Linked DNA regions of Canis lupus familiaris. The protein of the gene in region 2 purifies or fractionates together with the protein of the main gene of each other region. This does not show direct contact. Links are inferred from orthologs where the notes say so. Each region holds a gene or a part of one and is shown on either strand. Other genes may lie near its edges.

Region 1 (4,124 bases), on a different chromosome or scaffold from region 2:
TGCAGCAGTTTCAGGATCATCCCTGGAGAGGGTAAGGGTCAATACTGTCTGGTAATTATTTGATAATGATTTGTTTACTTCACAGTGCCTGACTCAAGTAAAGTGCTCAGTAAACATTTGCCATATGGAGGGGGAAAAAAGCTTTATTTCAAGTCGGGGAGATGAAAATTAAAGAAGCAAGGAGGAATCACTGTTTACCATCTTATTGAAAAAAAAATACCTAATGCTAGTTGAAAAGGGGGCACTTTCATACATCAATGATGGAGTGTGATTGCCACAGCCTTCCTGGAAAGCTATGTGGAAATATCTTTTAAAATTTAAGATGTACACACACTTTGCAGCAATAAACTCACAACTTTCCTACAGAAATAAAAGCAATGTAAGTACCTAAGAATTATTACAGGATGTTTACTAAACATTTTATTAATGGTTAGAAAATGGAAACAAAATAAATGGCCATCAACTATTAGCACTGACATAGATGCATGCTTATGATAAAAAGAACGTAAAGACAGAGAAGGATACATAGATTCTGGAGGTTGAGAGAGGGAGAGAAAATTAGTAGCCCCTTCCCCCATACACACACACAGTGTCAGCAATTAAAACATTCCATACGCTATAGCTAACTAAGCATATATAGGGAAAATATACTCAAAAGAGATGCATGAAAAAAATAAAAACTTCCAACGTATTCTGTAATAAAAAAGTAGTAAAGAGCACTTGGATACCTCAGTCATTTAAACATCTATCTGACTCTTGGTTTCAGCTCAGGTCATGATCTCAGGATCCTGGGAATGAGCCCTGAGTAGGGCTCCCCACTGAGCCAGGAGAATGCTTAGGCTTCCGCTTCTCCTTCTACCTTTGCCTCTCCCCATGCTTGTGCACTTGCGCACACACACTCTCTCTCTCACAAATAAACAAATAAAATCTTTAAAAAAAAAATAAAAAGAATGAATGAAAAATAAGTGATGGATAAAAGAATAGATGGACTGGTCGATTTAGGTTAAAATATAAAAACGATGTTTAAAAATACACAGTATTCCTTTTTTCAATAGTTTTTATATCATAATATTTGGCCTCTATACAATATTTGGTACTTGTTTATCACTTTGCCTACTTAAAACATTCACTTGTTTTCCATGACACCACACTGGTTTCCCCCGTTTCTTTGGCACTTCATTCTCAATCTCTGGGAGGCTCTTCTTCGCCGTTGTCCTTCAGGGCCCTGTCCCTCTACTCATTCCAATTCGGTACACCATCATTAGGTGTTTGAATTCACTTCCAAGGCCTCGATTACCATCTACAAGTTGACAGAGGGCTTGTAGAGAAGTTCTTCTTGAACTATAAGCTTGTCAATCTTTGGGCCTACTGGAAATCTCCACGTGGACAACCCAATTATTACTGTATAATAACTATAATTATATCCAAAACTAAGCTCGTTTTCTTCCCTCTCAAAACTTTCCCCTCCTTTCGAGATCCCAAGTCAGCATCACCAAAACAGCTGTGAAGCTAGAATACTGGCTTCTCACCGCCCTCGGGGGAGTAAAGGAAATGTACAAGTTCTGGTCTCCATCTCTCCGGAGAACAGGCGTTGGGGGAAATTAAGAAAACAGAAGCCGCACAGATGCAAGGCACTTTTAAGGCCGCTATGAATCCTATCCACTGTGTGACTTTATCCACTGAGTCTTCCAGCCCACTGCAGGAGTCCAGTCCTTCACCTCCTCGGGTGAATGGACCGCAGGGCGAGCGGGGAGCTCCAGACCCTACACACCTGGGCACCGACTCCCCTTAGCTCCGCAGACAACTCAAGGAAGGGGGTCGCTCTAGGTCCGTCTGCAGAACACTTCCTCCCTCACTGCACCCTGCAAAACCCAGAAACCACCTCGAGTGGCCGCTGCAAACCAACACCCACTCCTCCTCTCTCAACCACAGGCCTCTCCGAAACACCCCAGACCCTTTTCAGTCCCGGCCCGGGCGCACGCGAGACGCCAGGAGAAAGCAGCGGCGCCGGCTCCACATCCTCGCGCTACACGGACCCGTGCATCCACTTCTGCCTCACCTGAGATCCGGTACCTGTCTGCAACTCCGCAGCTGCGGCTTTCCAGACGCCTTGTTTCTGGGAGAGGCTAACCCTACCTCCGAGAAAGAGTCGGCAGGAAAGTGCGGCGTAGCAGGACACACAGGGAGCCGCCATGTTGGCCGCCGGAGGGCCAGGCGGGAGGGCGAGGGGGCGGGGCCTCAGGGCTGCGCAGGCGCCGGAGGGAGCTAGGTTCCGGGGGCTGTCGGGAAGGGGCGGGGGCGTGTCCCGCGGTCGGGGCGGCTCGTCGCTGGTTGGGTGTGTGAGTCCGCGGGGCGGGCCCGACTCCGCCCCCTGGCGCTCCGCGGCGCCCTCTCGGCCCCTGTCTCCTCCTGCGGGTGCTGAAGCCTGTCCTCGTCCAGGTCTTAGTAACGACTCTCCCGTGGGCCTTCCTTCCCTTGCCGGGTGCTGCACGTCCAACTGCAGAACCCGCGCCGCCCGCCCGCCCGACTCCTGCGGTCTGACTTCGCGCGCCCCGAGCGACGCTGCGCTCCTTGCTCACCGAGGAACGGACTCCAAACCTTGGCTCCTGTGCGTCTTTCAGCGACGGGTCTCCGCTTCTCTCTGCCTTTCCACAGTTTCCAGGAGCCAGGGTCTGCACCCCCTCCAGCAGCCTTCCCGGCGCTCACATGTCCCTCGTGTATCAGTGTAACGCACAGGCTACACCACTCACAGGTGAGAATGAAACAGTCTTACCAGGTTTGCATGCCTCCTCCCGTGTGTTAGCGCCCAGACTTAGCTGAAACCCGATCAGAATTAAATGCACCGTCACGAAATAGAAACGAGTATAGCTTGGTTTCTGAGCCTTGTGTGCTCTTGAGAGGAACTCCCAAGGTGCTGTCTACAAAATCCACTTTAAGTGATGCACTAAGCCGCTCTGAAAGGATTTCCAAACACTTAGAATTGAAGGATAAGTGAAATTAAAACACAAATACAAAGTTGTCAAGCAAATGAATACACCAGCATTTCTTAAAACACATTTAGTCATTAAAAAGGTAGAGATGACATATTCCCAGAAAAAAAAAAAAAGAAAGAAAAAGGGTTCCTTTAAATGGAATTCACTTCGTTGTACTGAAAAGCTCATTCTGTTGTTCTGTCACTTATCTTTTAGGCTAGTAAAACTTTCATCAGAGATTGGCATAGGTTCTCGGACCAGCATTTGGGAACCAAAACTTTATAGCCCATCAAAATAGATGCCTTTAGGGGCGCCTGGGTGGCTCAGTTGGTTGGACGTTGGCTCAGGTCATGATCTCAGGATTTTGGGATGGAGCCCCACATCAGGCTCCTTGCTCAGCGGGGAGCCTGCTTCTCCCTCTCCCTCTGCCTGCCTCTCCCTCTGCTTGTGTTTTCTCTTCTGTGTGTCAAATGAATAAATAAAATCTTAAAAAAAATAAAATAGATGCCTTTAAAAAGTGGTTCCTATACATTGTCACAAAAATGTTTTTAACTTAATTGTGGAAATTTAAATGGAAAACAACCAAATAAGTATGTGAAAGTGGGATTTTTACTATTTCTTTTTAAAAAAATGACATGTTGGAATATATAAGAACTAAGTAAGTTCTGAAATTAAGGTTAGGAATTTTGGAGGTTTTTCTTTTTTCCTTTTCTCTAAAATTCATGTTACAGGCTTTTACTAGATTACAGTAAAACGAGTGTAATATATTTCCTACCTCTAGGGGCAACACTTGGACGGCTGCATGAAATTTCCTGTGTAGACTTTGAGTTTGGAAAAAATATACCACTATAGGTTGGCATTAGGTACATAATCTGAAGTCAGGAGGAAAGATTGGAATCAAGAACATGCTGATAGACATTTAAAATATGAGAAAAATTTACTTTTACCAAAAAGCCACAGCTTAGACTCATTTTATTTTCCTCTCATTTACTGAGCACCTGTTATGTCAGAGACATCAGGTCTCCTAGGCAGGAGGATCATAAAATCCCCAAAGTCCAATACGGTAGAGTGACATCTAATGTGAGAGTTTGGTTCTAAGGTCAGCCTTTTGGGTAAATATCAGGAGAGTCAAAATGTTGAACTAACAACAAG
Region 2 (3,500 bases):
TTAGTGTCATAGATGATCTTGAAATGGGAGACCTTAAGTTCATCTAAGCTATTGTTCCTAAAAATTCATGTTTTGATTTTGTTAAAATAGTCACAGATGTAATAATCTTTGGTACGTGCCCTGCAGGTTCCAAGAATAAGTCAGGCTTCTGTTCTGAGATACATTGTGAGGATAGACTCAGGTCTTACAGTGAAGTCATTACCTCACTCTTGCCCTCCCAATCCAGGGAACTTGAATATTGGGTTGGGGAAGCCACAGGAAAATACTGTTATCATCTTTCCGGTTTAGGCTCCCGGAGAGAAAGGTGTGGGTACCGTGTTATGCGAAGGCAGAAGAGTTCCGATGAGCAGCTGCACTGCCTGAGCAAAGCCAAGAAAAATGGTGGCCACGTGACCCGAGTGAAGGAGCTGCTGCTGAGCGCCCTGAGCCCGGAGCAGCTGGTGCTCACGCTCCTGGAGGCCGAGCCGCCCCACGTGCTTGTGAGCCGCCCCAGCACGCCCTTCACCGAGGCCTCCATGATGATGTCCCTGACCAAGCTGGCCGACAAGGAACTCGTGCATATGATTGGCTGGGCCAAGAAAATTCCAGGTAGGGCTTTCTGGATCATAGCTTTTCATTTATGGTAGAAAGGCCTGCTGCCCCTGACATCTATAGGGCAAGAGTACAAAATGGATATCCACAAATGATATCTGGGTGTGTAACAGCTTTACATCCTGATTTATAATCTTTAAATGAAATATATTCTTTCTTCCTATCTTGACTTGTATGCCTTCAACATGTACTGGAAGGTCACGCTCCAATTTAGAATTTTTGGACTCCTCTTTTTCCCACGCCAGAACTATCCCACAGTGCCTTGTTCACACCCCATCTTCCGTGTCCACATCTCCTATACACACTAGCCTGTTGGACACCTCTTATGCCGAGATGTGGTCTGAGAGGGTGGACCCAAGAAGAAGCCCACTCAGCTCTGGGAGTGGGCTTGGGACCATTTGGGCAAAAAAATTCTAGGGTCCTGGGACCCGGAACATGGTCTAAAATGATGGAGTCTGGACTCCACATTGAGCTGTCTCTTGGCTGTGGACTCTGCACCTTGAGAGGAGGGGTGTGTGCAGGTGAAGGTGGGGTAGGGTGTCATATGACCAGTATGCAAGTGAGAGATTTGCCACATGTGAAATAGAAATGTATAAAATATCATTTCAATAGAGAAAGAATCAGTATTATGGATATAAATGAATATACATGGGCAAATAGAGTGAGTCAGCAGCTGGGATAGCATGAATCATCCATAAACCCAGAATGCCATTGTGTTAAAAATGCATTTGGTTGTTCAACAACAGTTGTCATTTAGCACCTGCATTTTCCCTTCTATGTCCCTTCCACAGGCCAGTTTGTAATATATGCCTGAGATACTGCGTTGTGCTAAAATTACCATCTAGTTATCATTTGAATTGGTGTTTCTGTGAAAAGGAATCTAGAATTCTAACACAGAATGGCACCAACCCATCCTCCTGAAAGGGCTTCTCCAGGCACATATTTACAATCATCTAAGAAATTAGGTCTCTCTCCAGGTTCTAGGCCACTAGGGACAATCCCCATGGCCTTGGGGCAGCAGCTGCTTTAGACAGGGTATACAGCCTGGGAGCCGCTGGAAAGCTGGATGAGAGCTGTGGATAAAGAGCGGTGGGACCCCAGGCCTGGTAGAATAGTATCTCTTGGGTCATTTGGTGGCTTGAACCTGTTCCTTCTGAGCTTCCTGAGGATCTTCTGGTTTCTAGTTTTGTTTTGATAGTCTGGATCTTCACCTTAGCCAGAATCATGTTATTTTCTCTGCTCTTTTTGTAGGAGACAATACCGACACATTCCTTGAGCTGTTGCTCTAATGTATATGCCAAACACTGTTTTTCAGGACCCCACGTGGTGATGAAATTGATGACTTTGAAAGCCATGCAGCTTCTTTGTGCTATAACCAAACTGAATTCTTGAGCTGCATTAGTCCCTCTTCAAGCCTGGTGTTTTAACATTTTTTTCAGAAAATAGTCTAAAGGTGTGCTTTTTCCCCCCTCTCTCTTAGCGGGTATAATTTAATTTCCCAAATTAAAAAAATAATAAAGTACCACCTATCTTGATCTTGTTAAATATCTGCAAATATAAGAAACCTAATCTCCCATGGGCAGGCTTCTTGTCTGGAACTGCAGGCAAGGTTGGAACGTGTACACATATGAGGCCAAGGGGCAGCTTTGGAAAAGGACTGAGCCATCTTCCCATTCATTACTCCTTTCAGCTTTCCTTTGTACCCTCTGGCATTATATTGTTCTCAGGCTTGAACCACATGTGCTTCCTGTGTCCTGGTCTCCTCATCTGTAAAAATGAGGATCCTGAGAGATGCTACCTGCAGGACATTCCCAGAGGGTAGGCATTGTCACTCTCACTTTTTTTCTGTAAGGAAATCAACTTAAACAGGGATTGAATAATTGGCTAGGAGGCTGAGCCGGGATCCTAACCAGAGTCCAGTGCACTCCTGGGCCACGTGTTTGATTAGTTTTATATTACACTGCCTTCTGTTTTATCATGGTTTGTGGGTAAAGCTCCAGTGATCTCTGCCTTACTTTGCTTTTAAGGTGCTCACCTCCCTAGAGATGACCTGTTTCTTTCCAATTTTTGGACCAATCCATCCAGGCTATCAGACTACTGGGACCTGCTTCGATTGTTAGATTTGCTTTTCAGGATAGAATAGCCTAGAGATAGCGCTCCTATTCAGAAGAATGATTCTAACCCTGAAACTTTAAGCAATCAGAGGTATTTTTCATTTGAAACCTTGACTTTCTGCAGGGGCTGGTGCTGTTCTCTCTGCATGTTCCACCCTCTTCATCCCCCAGCCCATAACACCCTCCATTCCATTCCCCCCACTCCGAGCCCATCCCTCTCTGCCCCCCCCCGCCCCCCAGCCTCTATTGTGGGCCAAACAGGCAGCCTTAAGCTGGCAGCTGATTATTTTTCTCAGCAATTCATAGGAATTTTAAAAATATAACTAAAGATGATCTGTTCCAGCTTTCTGTTCTCCCATAGCATTTGTCTGGGGAGCTATAAGCCCAGGTAACAGTCCTTTATAAATCCTGAATGGAATGTATTAGTCTCTAGGAGGCATCCAAGGCTGGACATTGTGAATTGCATACTTTGAATTTAAAATTTCCATCCTTCATCAGCATTGAACCACATCTTTAAAATGTTGAGTGTTTTCCCTATATCGTTTGTGTTTTCATAGTTTGTTAAAACTTGCTCTTCTGTTTTCACAGAAACGGGGAGTTGAGGAGGAGAGTGGGTATGTCTCATGGCCTCTTGCTTTCCCCAGGCTTTGTGGAGCTCAGCCTCTATGACCAAGTGCGCCTCCTGGAGAGCTGCTGGATGGAGGTGCTAATGGTGGGCCTCATGTGGCGCTCCATTGACCACCCGGGCAAGCTCATCTTTGCTCCAGACCTCGTTCTGGACAGGTGAGAAAAAAA
Region 3 (3,500 bases), on a different chromosome or scaffold from region 2:
GGTTACTTGGTGTTGAGGACAGGGGCAATACAAAATATGGAGGAAACAAAGCTAAGAAAACTGAAGATGTAATTCAGTTGTGTCGTCAGAAAAAAACAAAGCCACGGGTGGCCCAGTTGGCTCAGCGGTTTAGCGCTGCCTTCAGCCTGGGCCAAATCCTGGACCAGGGATCGAGTCCCACGTTGGGCTCCCTGCATGGAGCCTGCTTCTCCTTCTGCCTGTGTTTCTGCCTCTCTCTCTCTCTCTCTCTCTCTCTCTCTCTCTCTGTGTGTGACTATCATAAATAAAAAAAAAAAAAAAAAAAAAAGAATTATAAATAACTAGTACCTAGTGTGATAATTCAGAGATTTTTCCTGCTTTTAATGGGAATATTTTATAAGTACTCTAAATTCAGGCAGAATTTGTTTTAAGAACAGCGGTTGGATAACATCACAGAAAAAAGATTCAATGAAGTTCTCATCAAGATGACATCAGATTGTAGTCTCTCCCAACTAGCTCTGGACCCTAACAGTCAGTACCTGAGGATGCCAGGTCACAAGGAGAGACTACTTTGTCTTGAGCCCAGAAGCACCAAGCCCTGCCACAGGCTCTATTAAGGAAACTGGTGCTGGGCCCCCAGTTTAATGGGATTATTAGATGAGCTTGAGTGAGCTTGCTGAATACCAAATACAGAAAGGGCAAAGGCAGCTCTGATGAGAATTGTCCTTGAACACGGAAAAGCATAGCCAACACCGAGGCTTTGGAACATGTTTCATATAGCCGCACACAAATCACCCATCTGCAATCAGTGCCAGCTGGACAGCCCCAAGCCAAAACTTACTCTGAAGAATCATGGGCCCATGCAAACTCCTGGGCAGATCCAAAGCTCTTGTTTCTCAACGCCATTGCTGTGTAGATAATATACTCACCATCGCCACACACCACAACAAACCTGCAAATTATGGAAGACAGGGAGAGAAGTAGGATCAGTGACATGTGGAAGTTATGAAACAATGCTTCATCTTCATAATAAAATACTTCTAATAACAAATGCTACTTCAGCTGACTGTTATTATTGAATCTGGTATCTTTTAAAGTTATGCATTTCTTCAAATACAGAGCTACCCATACATATTCTATCCAAAAACATACTATGAAGATGAGGTTTTGCTAAAAACTTTCTTGCAGTGGCCTTCTCATATAGACAAAAGAGACTTGAGGCAGAAAGAATGGCTGGAGATGCACAGGGGCCAGGATTCTAATAATTCAGCAGATTTGGGGGTGGGAGGCAGGAGGGCAGGAGAGGGAGAATCTTCAGCAGACTCCATGCCCAATATAGAGCCCGACTTGGGCCCAGTCTCACAACCCTGAGATCGTGACCTGAGCCAAAGTCCAAAGTCAGACACTTAACTGACCGAGCCACCCAGTCACCCCTCAACTGATATTTGTTGAGCACCAAGATGAGTAGCACTTTATTCATTACATTTATACCATAAGAAGGTGCTACTTTGTTGCAAGATTATCTTAATTTTAAAGCATATCACTGGAATGAATAAAAATACTCATTTTTAATGACTGTTAAGTTCATCAAAATAAACAGAATATTTTAACATTTAATTAGTGAAAATAGAATATTGTATATAGTCAAGTGAAATTTTCTCAAGATATAAAACTCTCTGTAAAATATTGTATTAGCTGCTATTAGACTGCCAATGGTAAAATGCAAAACTTAGAACAAAAAAAAGTGTTTTTTATGATATCAAGGGAAAAAAATTTAATGCGTTTTTCATCTTCCTAAGAAAATTATATTACAAGTAACGATGGATACCATTTACTGAACAAGGCAGCACACTTGGTTTACAGTTCATCTTTTTCAATACCCAGCACAGAATTATAAGACACCCAGATCTATTGTAAAGTAACTTTTAAAGGCGCACAGGTTTAAACCTATGCTTCAAACTCTTTTACAAGATGTTCGGTGCTTTCTAAATCATAAGAAATGAAAATGATGGTTCAAGTATAGATAAGAAGCAGAATTATTACCATTCCCTCAATTTTTTCAAAGGACACATACTTCAGAGTCAGCTTTTCTTCCTAAGTTAGCAAATTTTTAGAGCACCTAAGGAGTCTCAGGAGAAGACATGGTATCTGCCCTTGAAGGAGCACAAAGACACAAACCCCACACATTTAAAATGAATAAATACAAAGTATTTAACTGTTCAAAATTGTGTGGTGGGACAGAGCCAGGAAGGTAAATATGCTTACATCCTGCATGCCAACTTGATCGATGGACATGCTCCCTGCCAACTGGGTTGAGGGTTGAGGATTGTTAGGCTAGGTAGGGCAAAGCTCATCAGGAATGCCCACCACAGAGTAAGAGTGGTATACACTATGGATATGCAAACACTGCTCTAACATACACAGAAGCTCAGAGGGAGATTCCGGTTATGGCTTACCGTCCATTAGGATTGTGCTGAATAGTCTGGGGATATATTTCACAACTGCCCATGTCCTTGACTGCTAATGGCAGTCTTTCTCCATCTTTAATTTCAGCATCTCCCATTGCTTTTAGGTTGGCCTGCTGGACTTCTGAATGCTTGGCCCAAATTATCTTTCCATTGGCATCCATGGACATGGCAGGTTCCTCCCGACCAAGCTGGAAGAATGATAAAACCACAAAATAAACATTTCTATTTTCACTTAACAGAAGGCTTCTTTTTTCCACTTTAAATCTCCAGTACTGGGATCCCTGGATGGCGCAGCGGTTTGGCGCCTGCCTTTGGCCCAGGGCGCGATCCTGGAGACCCGGGATCGAATCCCACGTCGGGCTCCCGGTGCATGGAGCCTGCTTCTCCCTCTGCCTGTGTCTCTGCCTCTCTCTCTCTCTCTCTGTGACTATCATAAATAAATAAATACCTTAAAAATTAAAAAATAAATAAATAAATAAATCTCCAGTACTTACTCTCTTATGCTTAATGAAAGAAGAGCCAGTTTAATAAAAGTGGTGGCTTAGAAGATGATTGTACTAAAATACAAGGAAAACTTCTTCCACTATGTTCATTTATTCAGAGAGTATAATTAGAGATTACCTTCACAATGATGCTCCCTTCATCATAGCCCAAAGCAACATTGTTGGACCCTCTCAGACTGGCCACACACCACACCCTCTCCATTCCATAATTCAATGTGCTCTCAAGGCGGTACGTGCTGGAATGCCAAATACGCACGGTTCCTAAAAAGAACAATGTGAATGCTCCCTTTTAATCTGAACATCTAACAATGAACTGTGTTGGGTGAACCGGCCACAGGGAAGTCTTTATTAGTTTCCTGGTAGCTTAATTTTTTGACCTATAGTCTAGTCTGTAGGTGATTTTATAAAGCAACATAAATAAGTGAAGAAAATTTTAAGAAACTAAGAAATGTGATTTTCCATGTAAAATAATGAATTTCCTAGGTACACTGCCTACTATATACCTGCAGATGCTTTACACACATGTGATCTTTTCTTTTCACTATAATCC
Region 4 (3,998 bases), about 4.8 Mb from region 2:
GACATGTTCTACTCTTGTGCAGTTACCAAGGACCACTTTACTGCGATCAGGATTCCAACGACCACCTAATTTCGTATCTTTCAACTCTTTTCGACCAGGACCTCTTATTCGGAAGCGTTACAGGAAGACAGCTCTCAACTTAGGGATCAGATCACGTTATCAACGCTCTGGGATCGCTGCAACCTGGCACTTCAAGTAAGTGCACCGATTACGTCTAGACCGGCAAACACAGATCTAGAGGTGGCCAATTGATCACTGTAGGAGCTGACTGGCAAAGTCAACCAGGCCCAACCAAGAGTGACCAAGACAACGATTAGGATAACCCACAGGCACTCCTCGTCATAAGGCCAACGACACAGATAGGCTGGCAAATAAAGGGTTTAATATTTGGTTAAAATTGATTTTAAAAAACAAGAAAAAATATCCTCAAAACATTAAACATTTGATCACTAATATTAAAACTTGAAAATATCCCCCAATTACATTTAACTAAAAATTTAAAATTACAATTAAATCCATTAATTTAATTAAATATAAAATTACTTTTAATAAAACATAATAAAACATTAACTACCCATTAATTTTTAAAAAGCCACATTAAAATAGCTCAAAACTGTGTTTCAACAAACCTGCCAGCTGACTCTTGAAGATAAATTCTCAACTATAAGCCGATTTTCTGTTCTTACAGGTGGAGCATTTCTGAGGAAGAAAATGAGTACTCACAATGGAAGAAATGCAGCAGTATGTACCTACTGTGTTCGACTGTGGGCAAGTTCAAGCAATCAGAAAGAACAAGTCATTCGAATGACTTCCATCAAGCTTCTGAATTACTTATACAACTTACTACACACGTTAATCAGGAACAGTGGACCAACATAAGAATAATAGAAATGATTACACGGTAAGTTTCAGAGTCACCTATTTATTGCTAATGGTTCTTAAGCATTAAAAACTCCTCCTGCAGTAATGATTGTTCAAAGCAACCATACACCATCCATCACATACCGTCTATCATTTCGAGGTCTGCGACTACTAAAACGGTCAGAATAGCGTCCTCTACCTCGTCCACCTCGAGACCGAGCCCTAGCATGTTCAATAGTAACCCTACAGGGAGGGGGGGGGAAAAAAAAAAAGCTTTATTATCCACCCAGTCCACGTGAGATCTACTTTGAAATAACCTAGCTGACATAGTCTATCTTACAGTCCTAAATAGTTACACAAAACTAACTTTCTCACCTTTCACTGCAGAGTTCTTTTCCATCAAGTTCATATACAGCATCATCCGCATCCCTGGGATCCTCAAATTCCTAATACGTAAACATGAAAAAACAGTGCTTAACGTGGCTCTAAAGCGTGTTCTACAACATACTAAAAATCACTAAAAGCGTGTGGCAGGATTGAGTATCTTAAGAACAGTGCCACGTACACAAGTTGAACTGAGAAGTGATCAGGAGTGGTTTCCCTCCAACAGCGAGGTTCTTTTATCCCTTAAAAATACTCTACCTGAACTTCAGTGGAAATCAAGACACTACTTATCAAGATCTTTACCGACTTAACAGTAGTTCTAAACCACCAACGGTCAATACTTACCACAAACCCAAAGCCTCTTTTCAGATCAATATCTCTTATTCGTCCATACCCCTTGAAGAATCTTTCCACGTCTTTCTCCCTGGCCGCTGGATTTAGCCTCCCGATGAATACTCGACAGCCGCTCATGGTGTCCGGCTATTATTTTCTGTTACAAAATAATTCAATCGAGACAATACCAGTGAATGTCGAAAGAATGCCTGGTCAAGGGGTCAAAAACATAAACGGCATAAAATAAAATGTTTACCCGGTGATGTTATAAACAAGATTGCCAAGAGTGCCTCTTATTAGGCCAGGTCCCTTGCAGACAAAATTAAAACTCGGCTCCCAACACGATCCTTCCCTGGGCCCAGACCGCAGCAACCGCAACGCCCACTGCCGCCTCTGGAACTGCGCAGCCGCACTCTCTCCCCGGCTCTTCTGGCCCCCTCCCATCTGCCGCAGTTAGGAAAGGCCGAGAAGTGCGGGCGGAGCCGACCCCGCCCTTCGCAAGGCCAGCCCAATGGCGACTGGCCGCGCGCGCGTCGCCGCCTCCCAGGAACGTCACAGCGGGTGGAAGCCGGAATCTCGCGACGCCACCGCCGCGCCTGCGCAGACGGCGGCGGGCGGACGCTGGCAGCCACAAAATGGCGGCGGCGGAGCCAGCGGTGGGGACAGCCGCGCGTGCCAAACGCCCTTCTCCCTTCTCCCTCCCCCCTCCCCGGACTCCACAGTTCCGGAGTCATGTGCCCGCCCGCAGAAGGCCCTGACCGCACCCCGAGCAAAGGTCTCGGCCCGATACTCGGGGGGGTTCGGGTAGTGAAGAGGTAAGGAGACGGGGAGGGGCACACTACCCCTGTGTAGCAACCACCAGAACCAGGACCGCCCTTCCACCTTCGGTTCCCCCTCAAACGACACCCAAAGGGAGACGTGCCCCAGCGCCCACCTCGAATAAACTGCGCTCATTGGACGCCGTCCTCCGCAAAGAGAGCAGCCCTGGCCACTCGCGATCTGAGCGGCCATGAAGAAGCCTCGATCCGAGAAGCCTTTCCCTCAAAGTGAGCCACTCACCTACCGGACAGGATCTTTGGCAGCTGAGACCAGAGAGGTCCGTAGTCTGCGACGGAGCTGTCTGCCTCCCCGCAGACCCGGACTAAAATCGTCTACGCCTCTCCACAACTGACGCACTTAGCTGCTCCTGCCTTCCACAAAATGGAGGGCGCGCCCCTGCGTCACTTCCGGGACCGCCCCTGGGCCCTCCCCGTAGGACCCGGGGAGGGAAATTTCCGCGGGGCCGGAAGTTTACGCGGGGCCGGGGCTCCTTCACGGGGACCGCCGCGGCGACCTGCACCCGCGAGGGGCGGGGCCGAGGGGCGGGGATTGGCGTCTGGTGCGGCCGTCAGGTGCCCGGCGCTGGAAGGGCCGAGGTTGGTGTTTGCTGCAAGTAGGCCGCCAAGTGCTGTTCGTCACTGATAACGCTAGAGCAGATGACACTCCTTTTTTTTAGCTGAATATTTTTTTGAGACACCCCGAAGAGTAGTACTGGGTGAAGGAAGCTCGGGCTTTGCAAAAATGCTTGGCCCTCTCTGACCCCTTGCTTCTTGCGGTCGTGCCACGGCCCTGTGCTTTATACTAAGAAGACTGAAGAACTGCAGTATTTTTTTAAAATGGAAGGTTCCTGCTTAGATAATAAATAAATACATAAATAAATAATTCTTGCATGATGAAATGCTTGAAATTGGGACTGCAGCTAGCAGGCCATCTGGAATTGAAGCCAGAATGCAGATTTCTGTCCTGGAGCTGAGCTGGTTGCAAGAGGTTTCAAACTACTTTAAAAGTCCGGGTGGTGTTTGGTTAACCCTCCCCGGTCACGGTTCTGTACTGTAACGCATAAAAGTATACCATTCCTCAGCGACAAAAAGACCGTGTTTTCAAAATGAGGGTGAAACAGCCTTCCGCATCCTTGACGCCGCATTTCCTAGCAAGGTAGCAATTCAGGCGTAAAGAATGATTGTGAAAAGCTTCCTTTTCTTGAATGCTCTTAGGAGGACTCCAAGGCACCCCATTTTTCAGAGGTACCTATAGCGTCTAGGGTTGCTGCTTGCAACTAAAATTACACAGAGATAAAGTAGTTCAAGAAGCAGCAGTGCTACTGACCCTTACTCTGACCTCCCAGCCCTTAGAAATTCTAGGTTAGAATTTGGATAGTTTGTATGGAATGAGCTTGTCCATTTATACATTTTTTAAAAAAAGATTTTATTTATTTGGGAGAGCGCACAAGGGAGGACAGGCTGAAGGAAAGGTAGAAGCAGATCCCCCACTGAGCAGGGAGCTTGGGCTGGATCTCAGGATCATGAACTGAGCCACCCAGGTGCCCCTACACATTTGTTTATTTTAGGTGGAGCCACAGTAGGTACAGCAAAATTGTGAAT
Region 5 (3,494 bases), on a different chromosome or scaffold from region 2:
GTAATTGAGGATTAAGTTGCTGTGATTAAAATAAGCTCTAGATGGCTCCAGTGAAATGCAGCTCTTTTCTTTATGTGTAATTAGTGGGAAAATTTGTCAATGACTTTAAGAAAGATCAGTAAGGAGGTACTGGTGTCAGTCCTGTGGATAGGTTAGAGAGCTCAAGAGGACAGAGAAATTCAAGATTTTCTAAGGATAAATTTCAAAGAGCTTTGGGTTTGAATAGTATTTGAGACCCCAAAGAAAGTATCTAAGATGGGCAAGTAAACTAGCTGGGTGAAAAATGTACAAACATAACAGACGGTTTATGCGTAAGATCATGTTAAGCTGAAGGTAGTGTCTGAATTGGGTCTCGTAGTATAGCTCCAAATTTCTGTATCACAGCAAAGTAAAGTGTGGATGCTAAGTAAACTGACATAGTCTGTGATTTCCTAAGGACCCAGTAGGTGAGATCTGGAATGTGAGGGTTGTGGGTTGATGAAAGCTGTTATCCCATGGGACCCTCAGAAGACAGTCTATTCGGATGTTAGTGGTGCTTGCTCTGTGATTTTTCTGCAAATCATTTTGTCACATTTTCATCTTCAAGATCTTATTTTCCCTGAAAATTGCTTAATCACATAAAAGATTTAGTAGGATGGTGTTATTAAAGTATATTAGTTTAACAGTATCTAACCACTGTTTCATGTAAATGGTGCCAGGAACTAACAACTCTGTGCAACTCCATTATAAAGTGTCCAAGGGGCTCCGTTCTTCCCCCTTGAATCTTTTTTTTTTTTTTTTTAAGATTTTATTTATTTATTCATGAGAGACAGAGAGAGAGAGGCAGAGACACAGGCAGAGGGAGAAGCAGGCTCCATGCCAGGAGCCTGATATGGGAGTTGATCCCGGGTCTCCAGGATCATGCCCTGGGCTGAAGGCAGCGCTAAAGCGCTGAGCCACTGGGGCTGCCCCGAATCTAACATTTTAAAACAAGTTAAGTTGAGCCTGATCATAACATTTTCAAATGAAATTATAGTTTTGTCATTTATTCTTCAAAAACATTAATAATCATCACTAACAATTAAAATTTCACTTGCTTTCTTTTCACTTTGAGCCTGTCTTTCACATACTAGGCCATTCTCCGATCTTTAATACTTGATGAACTTTATGAAGCCTAATATATATTGGTCTTTATTCTTCCTTAGACTCTTTAAAGATTTAATCAGCAAACTTAACCTTTGCCAGTCGTAGACACAGGAGGGGGTGGGTTTGTGGTAGATTCAGGAATATTCATTTGTAGAGAAGCAGTTTAAGCTAGCAGTTAAGAACAGAGACTGATGATGAACTGCCTAGATTTGAGTCCCAGATCACCATGGCACTTCACCACTCCTCTGAACTGTCAGAAGTATTTAAAAGTAGTTGTGGGTTGGTTTTAATAATAGTTTACATGCCCTTCAGTTCTGGGCATCCCTTGTTTTAAAACAGGTCATTTGAAATTCATTTAATATTCTTGTAAGTGGAACATTCTGTTTTTATTATCAACTCTATTAGATACCCAAGCTCCAGTGATTCCATATTGGCGCCTGCCAGGTTTGGGCATTATTGTCTACCTGCTGAAACAGAGCGCTAATGATTTCTTCAGCTATTATGACAGTCACCGACGGAGTGTCAACAAGCTACAGAATGTAGAGCAGCTTCCACCAGATGAGATAAAAGAGGTATGAATCTTATAATGAGCCATGGAGATTTTGGAGAATCCTTGCTTTTCCTAATGACCAAAATATTGGTGTCCGACTTGTGTGTAAAGATGATGTATGCAGTGATAAAAGGGCTTGAAATGATGCCTCTGTGTGGTTTGAAGAAGAGTCCTCCCCGTAGCACCACACCTGGTAATCAGGGCAACACTTGAATGGAAGATGGTGAAGTGCATCTGTTCAGGAACACCACCTGCTACCCTTCAGTAGAACGGCAGCTGGCTTTTGAAGTAGAGTTTTGGTAATTCATACTCTGAAATCTGTGCTGAGAAACCTGGGTTTCTGTTGCAGATGCTTATTCAGTAGAAGTGATCCCTTAAGTAAGAGGTCTCTGTGTCTTCAGCATCTTCAGTATCTGTTTAGAGAATTTTTCAGACAAATGGGATAGCATATAAGACTTGACTGCCTGCCCTCAGTGACCCAGAATCATTCACCGATATTGTAGCTAAAGATACTGAGTCGCTAGGCTTACATCCTAAGTAGCCACTTTCTCTCCCATCCGGCACAGCTGAATGACACAAGGCATACCCTGGCCGGTGCTGAAGCTCCCTGGTGGCCCGTGGCAGCCTAGATGTGGAGCCATTTTGCCATTCCTCCTTTGCACCAACTGTCCTGAAAAGCTCCGCATTACTCTTCAGAGTAGTCAAAACCTCCTCCCTCTTGCCTGCTTCCAGCAATCATAGGGAGCAGTTGGTGGGTGTTTCTGATGTGCCAGACAAGTTCTGTTGCAATACATGAGGCAGATAGTGTAGCCACTCCTATTTTCTCAGATGAGGAAGTGGAGGCCCTGGAAGTTTGAATAATTTACCCAAAGCCACACAGCTAGCAGGTCCTGAGGCGGGAGTTACTGATGAGGTTCTAGTAATCCCTGAAGTGGGGGGCTTTACATCTGGCAGCCCTTCCCCAACACGCGTAGCTTACGGGTGACACCAGCACTCGCCAGAGAAACGGCAGCCTTCCTGGCAAGTGTGCGGTGCCCTCCCAGCCCCACTTCAGTTTGCCTTCTGTCCAACCCAGCAGCTGAATTTTGAATCGGACCGCAGTGCTTATGCCAAACAGAGGTGTGATGAAAGGAGGTTCTGGTTGATGAGCCTATTTTAGTTAATGCTGTAGAAATCGGCTTTTACATTTTCTTCAGAAGATACATGACAGCTGTTACAGAAAATCTCCATGGCGTTGTTAGACCCACGGCCTGAAAAACCTACTGTTGAATTTTGTTTTAGTTTGACAAGAGATTCAGGGTTGGTCGGCCCCTCAGCAGATTGGAAACATCTGTTACAGAGATAAGACCTTTTGCAGAAATCGGCAGAGGAGTCTTCATTTGTGAATTCCACTACTTTGGCTCTCGGTTTTATAAAGTTACCAGCTTCCTAACCAGATGATAACTCTCATCTGCAGGAATGTTTAAACTTCTTTGTTTTTTTGCAGGGCCTGTCATAAGTGACCCTCTCTTCATGAAGTTTCTGTTAGTTTATGTAATCGCTAATCCTGCGTTTGTTTCTGATTCTCAGTTGTGTCAGTCTGTGATGCCTGTTGGTGTTGAGAAAATCTCTACTGCCCAGAAATATGTTCTAGCAAGACGGCGTTTGGTGAAGTTGATCAATAATCGAGCCAAACTGCTTTCCCTCTGTTCTTGTATCCTTAATGAAGTCACAGTGGGAACTTGAGTGGTGGTGACCTTTAAGAAAATCTTTAAATGCGGGAACTGTTTACTGATTCTCACACAGCAAAACTGTATAAAAGGGACATATTGGGACATGA
Region 6 (4,225 bases), about 36 Mb from region 2:
TATCAAGGAATCCCTCCTCCTGGGAACCAAGAGGAAGTTTTTCAAAACTAGAAGGGTGCTCCCCGCCATCCCTCCCAGTATCAATCTAGCTTTGGAGATATTCTATTAGTGACATATGCCCTTGCCCCAAAACAACAAGTGTTCTGTGTGCTAACAACATAGCTTTTTTAAAAAATAAAATTCTGCATTTTTATAAAAATTGATAAAGTAATATCTCAAACTGTAAAGTCACCAGAAGTACACCGTTATCAAAAATGCACACACTTCATCTGGCATCTCTGAAACCCCTGATTCTTATTCACAGGAGGTCAGAGAAGGGAAACCTATCCCAGGGCCCTTGTAGACTTACCCACTGCAATCCTCTTGCTATAGTCACACAAGGTCCTGAAGTTGTGCCACCTGTTCAGGGTGAAATACAGGAAGAAAAAAAAAAAAAAAACAGTCAAATACATATGCCCACCAATCGCCATAGCTAGAGAAGACCCCCACACACACAACAGGCTCTACCCTATACTTCCCCTCCCCGTACCCTTTGCCCTGTATAGCAGCAAAAGGAGACATACCACATCCATGTCTTCTCCTCTCCACTATACTCCTCTGTATGTGTACTTGGTGCATTCTCAATTATATCATCTCTCAGGTCCTCTGGAGCCACCAAGGGTACCCGCATCCAGAACTGCATGTGAACAAGTACCCTATTTAGAACTCTATTTTGAACTCATTGGGTCCAGAAAGCTTCCTTCAATTATCTTGATCCAGATTGCAAGTTAACCCTTTTATATGTTTTTCCCAAGTTCTGATTATATGTACATATAAACTTATCTTGTGTATATCCATATGTAAATATCTGCCCTGTCCTTTATTGCAGCCATAAGTTTCTAGAAATAATTGTACATTCTATGTTTTCTAACCCTCTGCTTACCACTTTTAGATGGTGGTGGCCAGTACTGACATTTCAGTTCTGCCAACTGCACCGTTTACTGAATGGCTAGGAACAAGAAGGTACCTAGCACAGCTTGACTACCATAATATTCAGCAGAAAAAGAAGCCCTCAAGCCATACCATGGACGAGTGGTGGCCAGTGTGGATGTGGTTGGTCAAAACCCTGGCCAAGTTTGTGTTATCTTCCTGATTTAGGGGCAACAGGAAAGCTGGAAGACCCAAATATGCCCCAAAATTCAGCTCCTGTAACATTGCCTGGAAATGGAGATCAAGAAGACATGAAGAGTTAGCAACCCAAATAGGTTTAATTGCATTATATTAGATTTACTAAGTTATGGGAGGAAAAAAACTGCTCTCTGCACCCAGCTAGGTTATGGACCTGATCTCTAGAAAGAGCCAGTGAAGTCAAACAGTCTTACCGCCTCAGAGTTCCTGCGGATCTTCTCCACTTTTGAGTCTGGACGAATCCATGGAGAAAGCTTTCCCACAATTAGCGTATTCCAGTCTGCACTCCCCCCATCCAAGAAAGACAAAACTATATGAGGTTCAGTGCTTTACTTGTTCAATTTCTAATTCTTAACAGGGAATAGAGAGTAGAGATGAGAAACAAAGACTTTTTCTATCACAGATGTGGGATAGCCTGATGCAGAATAGAGTAAGGCTTTTTAGCAGGTAAGCAAGGAGAAAACAAGAGTTATCTATGTCCCAGGACTAACCAATATATCCAAGTCAGGAAAGGAGGAGAATGAGGGCACTGTTAAAGCAGAAGTTGTTATTGCCTCTAATAATTAAGGGGCATATGGGATGGTCCCTACCCCTTCCTGACAGCAGTAGGTCTGATCGTGTCTGGGGGCCCGGCCGATTCTTAGCAGGTTCCTGAGTGAACTCCCTCTTGAAACGCGGGTGGAAGACAGGCATGCAGAGGAAATCAAACCTACAACCGCGACAGACCCAGAATCGTCATGTAAAGAGAGCAGCAGTGCCCAGAGATCCAAGCAACTGGATTAGGCTATCTCAATTCTGCACAACCCTTTCTGCTGCCATCAGTCACCCGACTGGACTGCTGAGTTCAGCCTGCCTTGGGGCATGTTACTTCCGCTGCACTGTGCCTCAGTTTCTCCCCAAAACACAAGCATGGAAAAGGAAAAAAGATAAAAATCCACGCCAAGTGGCTTTTCTACTCTGTTGTCACCGGTTTTCCAAGACTGTCACATCCAGATTTGCCTCAGTACCGCCCATGCTTCCCCCCAAGGTTTCTCTTCTCTCCCTAGCCCCTAACACTCTCTCCCATTCTCAGACTATAATCCCGCTCTCCAGGGCCCTGGAGGTCTGTAGTCCTCTTTTTGAGTTTACCTGACAACTCCCCTGACTTTGGGGCTCAGTGGCCACACGCCCCAGCAAGTTTTTTTGTTTGTTTTTCTTTGTTTGTTTGTTTGTTTGTTTCACGCTCCAGGGCCTAAGGCTTCCCCATCCTCCCCCAAGGAGTAATGGTTTCTCCCGCCCTAATCTTACCCACTCCGACCCCCTCACCCCTGCCTTTCGGGGATGACTAGTCTGTCCCTCTTCGTCCCCGAGTTCGGAGCCCGCATTCCGCTTGCGGAGGTCTGGACCCTCACCCCTGCTTGGCCACAGCCCCCAAAGTGTCAGCTATTTCGGGCACGCAGTTCAGGTCCCTCCCGCTGGACACGCGGCTCCCACCGGCACCTCCGACCGCCATCGCCGCCATCTTTTCCCTCGCGCCGTCCACGCCGGGATGCCTTGATATTAGCAGCCAATCACAAAGCCAGAAAAAAGCCCCCGGAAGGCGGAATGAGTCGTCCTAACAACCAGAGCGTCTGCCACTGCTCCAGAGCGGGAGGCCGAGGGGTGGGGAGTGGCTCTTTCCGCCAATCCGCTGGCTGCGCCCGTGACGTACGACGTGGCTCCGTAAGATCCACCAATCTCGGGATGTAGTTTTCGACGAACTTCAATCTCCCATGATGCGCCTGTGTTCGTAGAACTCCGTTGGGGGACTACGCGTCCCATGAAACCCTGCAGCATAAGCTTGAACTATCATCACTGAGCCGAGAGCAATTGTCTCCGGGCCAGTGGCGCAATGGATAACGCGTCTGACTACGGATCAGAAGATTCCAGGTTCGACTCCTGGCTGGCTCGAGTGAGACCGGTGGTTTCCTTATTGCACCTCACGCAACATGGCCTTAGATAGCGTCTTTTAGGTCTACCCCTTTCCTTACACTTTGGGAAGTTTGCTTCGTAACTTTTCACACCTTCATTTTTCAAGTCTTATTTTGGTTGAGTTCTGCAGCCATCTTATGTCGGCTTTTCCTGTTACCTAATTCAGAGATGGTTCTTGTGTCACTGCTCGGGTCCGTCTAAACTGAGAGAACTGAGTTAATGGCTGCTGCTCTTAAAATGGGCTTTGTATGGACCTTAGTGTATTTACAAATAGATTATGACAACTAAGCCACTAATTCCTCAGGTTCTATATCTCAGACACAAAAGGTACACACGCGCGCGCGCGCACACACAACACTCATGGTGAGGAGTCATGAACTGCCTGGAGGAGGGCTGGGAAAACATATCTACATTCTTGTAGAGGCGTGGAACGGAAGGAGAGGAATGAAGCAAGGAAAAACACGGAGAGAAAGGGAATACCTGGAAGCAGGCAGCCCAGAGGTGTTGAGGGCCTGGCAGCGGGGATCGAAAGAGAACACATTACAGAAGGCCCGAAGAAAGCGGCATTGACAGAACTGAGGGGCTGCTAGGCAGGGAGCCACAAGAAAGAGGAGTCTCGGTTCTGGCCTCTCTGTGAGTGAAACAAGAAAGAAAAGTGGGTTAAGGGACAATCAGTTCGGCTTGCAAATGCTGAATTAATTGGACGCCTAGGGGGCGCTGTGTAATAGAGAGTTGGATGAACAGTGTTATGACCTGATGAGATTTGGAAATGGCCAGAAGAGAGGTAGCGACCTCGAAGTAAAGAGTGACCTAGACTGAATGAGATCATCCGGGCCAGTCAGGGACAAGGTCCTTGGAAACACGGAAACGGTGTGGATAGGATAAGAGCCCTGGGTGCAATGTAAGAGCTCCAGAAGGATGAAAGTCCAAAAAGCCAAACAACGAAGAAAATGCTTATGAAGCCTAATGGGGTTGTCTCATCTTAATCTTCAGTTGATTTTTGCAGATATTACTACAACAACAACTATTATTACTAGACTTTATTTCTTAAAACAGTTTTAGATTTACAGAAAAACTGCAGGTAGAATGCGGAGTTTCCATCTGCCTC
Region 7 (4,085 bases), on a different chromosome or scaffold from region 2:
TCTCTCTCTCTCTCTCTCTCTGTGTCTGTCTTGAATAAATAAATAAAATCTTTTTAAAAAAGAATCAGTAGGTGTATTATAAATATCTGCCGAATGACTGAATGAAAACTACTCCTGAATGTGTACATCCAGGATTATTCTCAGAGCTTTACGTTCATTATCTTGTGGAATCATTACAACTCTATAAAACAGGTATTATCATAATCCTCAATATATTTTCTATAGTCCTTTTCTAGGACATTAAGGCCCAAAATGGTTAAGCTCAGAATCATATCACCTGGCTTGGTACAGTAGGAATAATAAATATAAAACCTAAGCATTAAAATCAAAGCTTGAAAAACATCACTATTATACTCCTCCCCCTTAAAAAAAAAGTAAAATATCTGGGATTTGTCCAAGATTTTGTACTGTATTTTTGGAGGGACATAAAGACCGCTGAACAAATCTAAACATGTTTTAACATTAATACTTGTTAAATTCAAATCAATGTTGATAATCTATTATGTGCTTAGCTGGTCTAGTACCTCATGAATAAAACAGAAATATATGTCATAATCCTTGTCCTCAAGAAGTTTTACATATCATCACCTTAATCAAACACTATATACTTTTAAATTGAGTGAATTTTAAGAAATTAACTATACTTTCCAAAAAGTACTTCACTGAATGTTATGTATTTCTTTTCCAGGAAACAAATCTGAGGAAAATCAAAATAGCTTACTTGGTTCAGTAAGTAAAGAATCTTTGTAAGAATATGCAAACATCTTCTTGGATTGATGGGTGTTTCATTGAATATGCGAGCCTGTGGGAACGAAAAACATTTTTAAACAGCATGTTTTCTGTCATTTCTATCATATTACAAAAGATCAACTTTAATCAAATAGACTATTACATATTTTGATCACAACATCCACATAATGTTAGTTGCTTACAGTTTTCAATTTATCACAGTATACGATACACTTTGGTCTTTATATTCCGTCTATACTAACTCCTTCCCTTACATCTAGTACTTCAACTTTATGGGCGTTATGTGTGTTAAGAATCGTAATATTTATCTATATCATCTGAATATAATTAGCTTAATATCTTTAACTTCCTTCAGTAACCTTGTGCTAAACATCTCTTTGGCATTTTACTTAAAATTATCAACATGTGGCAGAGTGTCTACACAGTTTTGCGTTTCTGTAAGCTCTAGACCCTCCTATGGTAAGTTAACCCCTCTTCCTCTTCCCTCAGGTCTGTATTTTCCGAACACAATTATTACATCCTTCAATTCTTATTTCGGGTCATCATATTCCGGAGGCTCTCTGCCCACCATTCCAAAATGGAATAGAAAGAAAGAACACAATATACTTCCAAGTCATACCTCCTGTAAGACAGCACTCTTCTCCAGATGCCGAAAAGGATTGGAGCCACTACCTATATCATAAACAAAAAATGTCTTCAATAGCTGTCCAAGACAAACTTACTGTCTACAGAAGGGTACTGAATGCTTGGGATATCTCACCTAGATGAAGCGACCACTTGGATAGCACAGTGACAAGCGTTACTAATACACATATGAACTGAATAAAATCATATGGATTCTGGTACTAGCTGTCGTTGCTAGTTACTGAGGATCTTGCACTTCTCTTTTGCACGATCCCTGCCCAAAAAGAGTGTCTTCTTTCCTTGTCCTCTTTTTATGGGACTGTTGCGAGCCTATGTTATGTTCACACAGCTAAGATTAATGAGACTGTGGTAGGACCCTTTTGGATTTCCCTGAAAGACAAGCGCTATCTTCCATGTTTCCAACAATTACTTCGAGGCAGAAAAGAGTTTATAGCCAAGAATGCTGTCAAGCTGGAAGGGGCCATGGAGATTTACTAAACCCAAACGTCCACCACACCATGGGAGAGCCGAACCAAACACTGAGGGCTTGTGCTTTGGGAGTTGGGGGGTTGGGCGGGGGGGGGGTGTTTTTAGGTGGCTTGGCATCTTCCCCACTCGCTCTGGATCAAAGTTGGGTCTCGAGAACGCCACTCGAGCATCCTCCGTACCGTGGGCCAGTCGTAATCCCCTGGGAGGCGGACACAGCTAAGGTCCTCGGGCAGGCTGGAAGGGCCAAGGCGCTTCCAGGTTCATACACGCGCGCGCGCGCACACACACGCGCACACCCACGCGCACACACACGCGCACACTCGGTCCCGGCGGACCACCTCCGGCGCCCCCAGCGCGCGTGCACCCGCCCCTCGCCGCGCCGCGGGCCCGCCTCCTCGGCCTGGAGCACCCCCCGCCCCCCCCCGCGGCGCGGCGGAGGCGGAGGCGGAGGCGGAGGCGGAGGCGGCTCCGAGGGGCTGCGCCCGGGGGCGGGCGCGGGGGCGGGGGCGGGCGCGGGGCGCGCGACCCGAGGGGAGGCTCCGAGGCCGGGGGAGGGGCTAGGGGCAGGCCCCGGGCTGCAGCCGAGCGGAGCCGAGCGGGGCCGAGCGGGGCCGAGCGGAGCCGAGCGGGGCCGGCGGAGGGAGGGAGGGAGGGAGGGAGAGAGGGAGGGGCGGGCTCCAGCTCCGGCCCCCTGGCGCACCGGGCGCCCACGCCTGCGGGTCCGCGGCCCCCGGGAGCAGGTGGCGGCGGGCGGGGAAGGGGCCCCGCGGCCGAGGGTGGGCGTCGGCAGCCCAGCGCGTACCAGACTCCTCGTCCTTCTTGTCGAATTTTTTAATCATCTTGGACGACTTCCCAGCGCCCAGACCCACCGCAACCGTCCAGGCGCCGCAGCCGCGAGCGGAAGAGGCTGCAGGAAGGCCGGCCCCGCGCCCCGGCGCCGGTTGGGTCGCCGTCCCGTCACTCGGGGAGAAGGCCCGCCCTCCCGGCTGTGGCGGCCGCGCCCGTCCCCCGGGGCCGCGGCCACGCCCTCGCCCCGCCCGCAGCCGCGCGGAGGCGGGGCCGGCGCTGGGCCCCCGGGGTGCGTCGCGGCCCCTGCGGGGCGGGGCGGGGCGGGGCGGGGGCCCACGGGGGGGGCGCGGGGCGGGGGGGCGCGGGGCGGGGGCCCACGGGGGGTCGCGGGGCGGGGGGGCGCGGGGCGGGGGCCCACGGGGGGGCGGGGGCGCGGGGCGGGGGCCCACGGGGGGGCGCACCCGCCGGCCGGCGAGCCGCAGCGCCAGCCCGGAGCGAGCACAATGCGGTTTTATTTGGTCTGCGCGCCCTGGACGGCGCCTGGTGCGGCCCCCGAGCCTGGGGAGGCGGCGGCGGCCGGGAGGGTCGCCTTCACTGGAGGGCAGCGGCCTTCCTGACGATCCGCTGCGGGGCCCTTCCGTCGCGGCGGGCGCGCTCCCCGGGCACAGGGCTGGCGGGTTCCTGGTTCGGGAGCGAGGAAAGGCTCGGCGGTGCGCGGGCCGCCTCGGAGGTCGGCACGTCACTCCCTGACTTGGCGACTGCAACAAAGCACGGGGCCCCCTGGTCAGGGTGGGTTTCCAGAGGGTCGAGAAGGACGCTCAGTGGGAGGCAGGAAAGAGACCCGCTTGGAGGGACGGAACAAGAGGGCAAATGTTGGACCACGGACTACCGCGCCCAAGCTTCTTCACACTTCTGGATTCCTTCCGTTCATCAAAACCCTGCCAGTTCAGAGAGGCTTCCCGGTGTCATCCCACCCCTTTCCAACGATCCCACCTGCAAGCACGTTGACACTTAGAGAACTCTCAATAAGGCGCATTCATACTCCTCGTAGCCTTCTCCTAAAGTGTGTGTGGCTTTCAGGTTCTCCCGTCTGAGAGTGTAACTAAGAAACTGTTTCTACCTTTGGCTTCAGTGTCATCACTTGATCCAGATTCTCTTTTAACCTCTGCCTGTACTTGGAAGCTTCCACCGTGGGCTCTTCTTGCTTCCATCCCTCCACACTTTTTTGATGCATTATGTCTTGCCAATATCTCTTGAATCTGTTTGCTCCTTCCTACTGCCATCACCTTGGTTCAAGCCCTACCGTCTATCTCTTCCAGGGCCCCCTAATCAGCCCCCATCTACAACATTCTCTGGGTAATCTTTCTTTCTTTGGTTGCCTGGCAAACGTGGAACGTGACTGGCTATTGGCAGAACGAGGGTTTGCTGGCAGT

Evidence for each region.
Region 1: the proteins of ESR2 (region 2) and MRPS9 purify together in Homo sapiens (affinity purification with mass spectrometry; 3 studies listed by BioGRID and IntAct, with this or other methods). This does not show direct contact. The link is inferred for Canis lupus familiaris from reciprocal best matches to the Homo sapiens genes ESR2 and MRPS9.
Region 3: the proteins of ESR2 (region 2) and COPB2 purify together in Homo sapiens (affinity purification with mass spectrometry; 3 studies listed by BioGRID and IntAct, with this or other methods). This does not show direct contact. The link is inferred for Canis lupus familiaris from reciprocal best matches to the Homo sapiens genes ESR2 and COPB2.
Region 4: the proteins of ESR2 (region 2) and SRSF5 purify together in Homo sapiens (affinity purification with mass spectrometry; 3 studies listed by BioGRID and IntAct, with this or other methods). This does not show direct contact. The link is inferred for Canis lupus familiaris from reciprocal best matches to the Homo sapiens genes ESR2 and SRSF5.
Region 5: the proteins of ESR2 (region 2) and NUP205 purify together in Homo sapiens (affinity purification with mass spectrometry; 3 studies listed by BioGRID and IntAct, with this or other methods). This does not show direct contact. The link is inferred for Canis lupus familiaris from reciprocal best matches to the Homo sapiens genes ESR2 and NUP205.
Region 6: the proteins of ESR2 (region 2) and PRMT5 purify together in Homo sapiens (affinity purification with mass spectrometry; 3 studies listed by BioGRID and IntAct, with this or other methods). This does not show direct contact. The link is inferred for Canis lupus familiaris from reciprocal best matches to the Homo sapiens genes ESR2 and PRMT5.
Region 7: the proteins of ESR2 (region 2) and COPG2 purify together in Homo sapiens (affinity purification with mass spectrometry; 3 studies listed by BioGRID and IntAct, with this or other methods). This does not show direct contact. The link is inferred for Canis lupus familiaris from reciprocal best matches to the Homo sapiens genes ESR2 and COPG2.

The regions. Positions count from the first base shown.
Region 1 is NC_049231.1:39,419,176-39,423,299, forward strand, and holds the start of MRPS9 (28S ribosomal protein S9, mitochondrial), read right to left. Parts: upstream 2,801-4,124; 5' UTR 2,195-2,800; coding exon 2,060-2,194; intron 1-2,059.
Region 2 is NC_049229.1:38,955,645-38,959,144, reverse strand, and holds part of ESR2 (estrogen receptor beta), read left to right. Parts: intron 1-288; coding exon 289-588; intron 589-3,349; coding exon 3,350-3,488; intron 3,489-3,500.
Region 3 is NC_049244.1:36,080,286-36,083,785, forward strand, and holds part of COPB2 (coatomer subunit beta'), read right to left. Parts: intron 3,212-3,500; coding exon 3,069-3,211; intron 2,636-3,068; coding exon 2,436-2,635; intron 932-2,435; coding exon 821-931; intron 1-820. UniProt on the Homo sapiens protein: The coatomer is a cytosolic protein complex that binds to dilysine motifs and reversibly associates with Golgi non-clathrin-coated vesicles, which further mediate biosynthetic protein transport from the ER, via the Golgi up to the trans Golgi network.
Region 4 is NC_049229.1:43,788,910-43,792,907, reverse strand, and holds the start of SRSF5 (serine/arginine-rich splicing factor 5), read right to left. Parts: upstream 2,801-3,998; 5' UTR 2,642-2,800; exon of another isoform or gene 2,513-2,641; intron 1,888-2,512; exon of another isoform or gene 1,835-1,887; intron 1,736-1,834; 5' UTR 1,717-1,735; coding exon 1,591-1,716; intron 1,308-1,590; coding exon 1,237-1,307; intron 1,105-1,236; coding exon 1,006-1,104; intron 700-1,005; coding exon 630-699; intron 1-629. UniProt on the Homo sapiens protein: Plays a role in constitutive splicing and can modulate the selection of alternative splice sites.
Region 5 is NC_049237.1:12,272,354-12,275,847, reverse strand, and holds part of NUP205 (nuclear pore complex protein Nup205), read left to right. Parts: intron 1-1,530; coding exon 1,531-1,697; intron 1,698-3,244; coding exon 3,245-3,368; intron 3,369-3,494. UniProt on the Homo sapiens protein: Plays a role in the nuclear pore complex (NPC) assembly and/or maintenance. May anchor NUP62 and other nucleoporins, but not NUP153 and TPR, to the NPC.
Region 6 is NC_049229.1:3,377,654-3,381,878, forward strand, and holds the start of PRMT5 (protein arginine N-methyltransferase 5), read right to left. Parts: upstream 2,801-4,225; 5' UTR 2,669-2,800; coding exon 2,559-2,668; exon of another isoform or gene 2,532-2,558; coding exon of another isoform or gene 2,473-2,531; intron 1,877-2,472; coding exon 1,758-1,876; intron 1,478-1,757; coding exon 1,362-1,477; intron 1,198-1,361; coding exon 1,063-1,197; intron 677-1,062; coding exon 564-676; intron 400-563; coding exon 350-399; intron 1-349. UniProt on the Homo sapiens protein: Arginine methyltransferase that can both catalyze the formation of omega-N monomethylarginine (MMA) and symmetrical dimethylarginine (sDMA), with a preference for the formation of MMA.
Region 7 is NC_049235.1:6,177,851-6,181,935, reverse strand, and holds the start of COPG2 (coatomer subunit gamma-2), read right to left. Parts: upstream 2,801-4,085; 5' UTR 2,703-2,800; coding exon 2,666-2,702; intron 1,423-2,665; coding exon 1,370-1,422; intron 1,142-1,369; exon of another isoform or gene 933-1,141; intron 803-932; coding exon 722-802; intron 1-721. Other genes in the region: TSGA13 (testis-specific gene 13 protein), read right to left, coding at 3,244-3,410. UniProt on the Homo sapiens protein: The coatomer is a cytosolic protein complex that binds to dilysine motifs and reversibly associates with Golgi non-clathrin-coated vesicles, which further mediate biosynthetic protein transport from the ER, via the Golgi up to the trans Golgi network.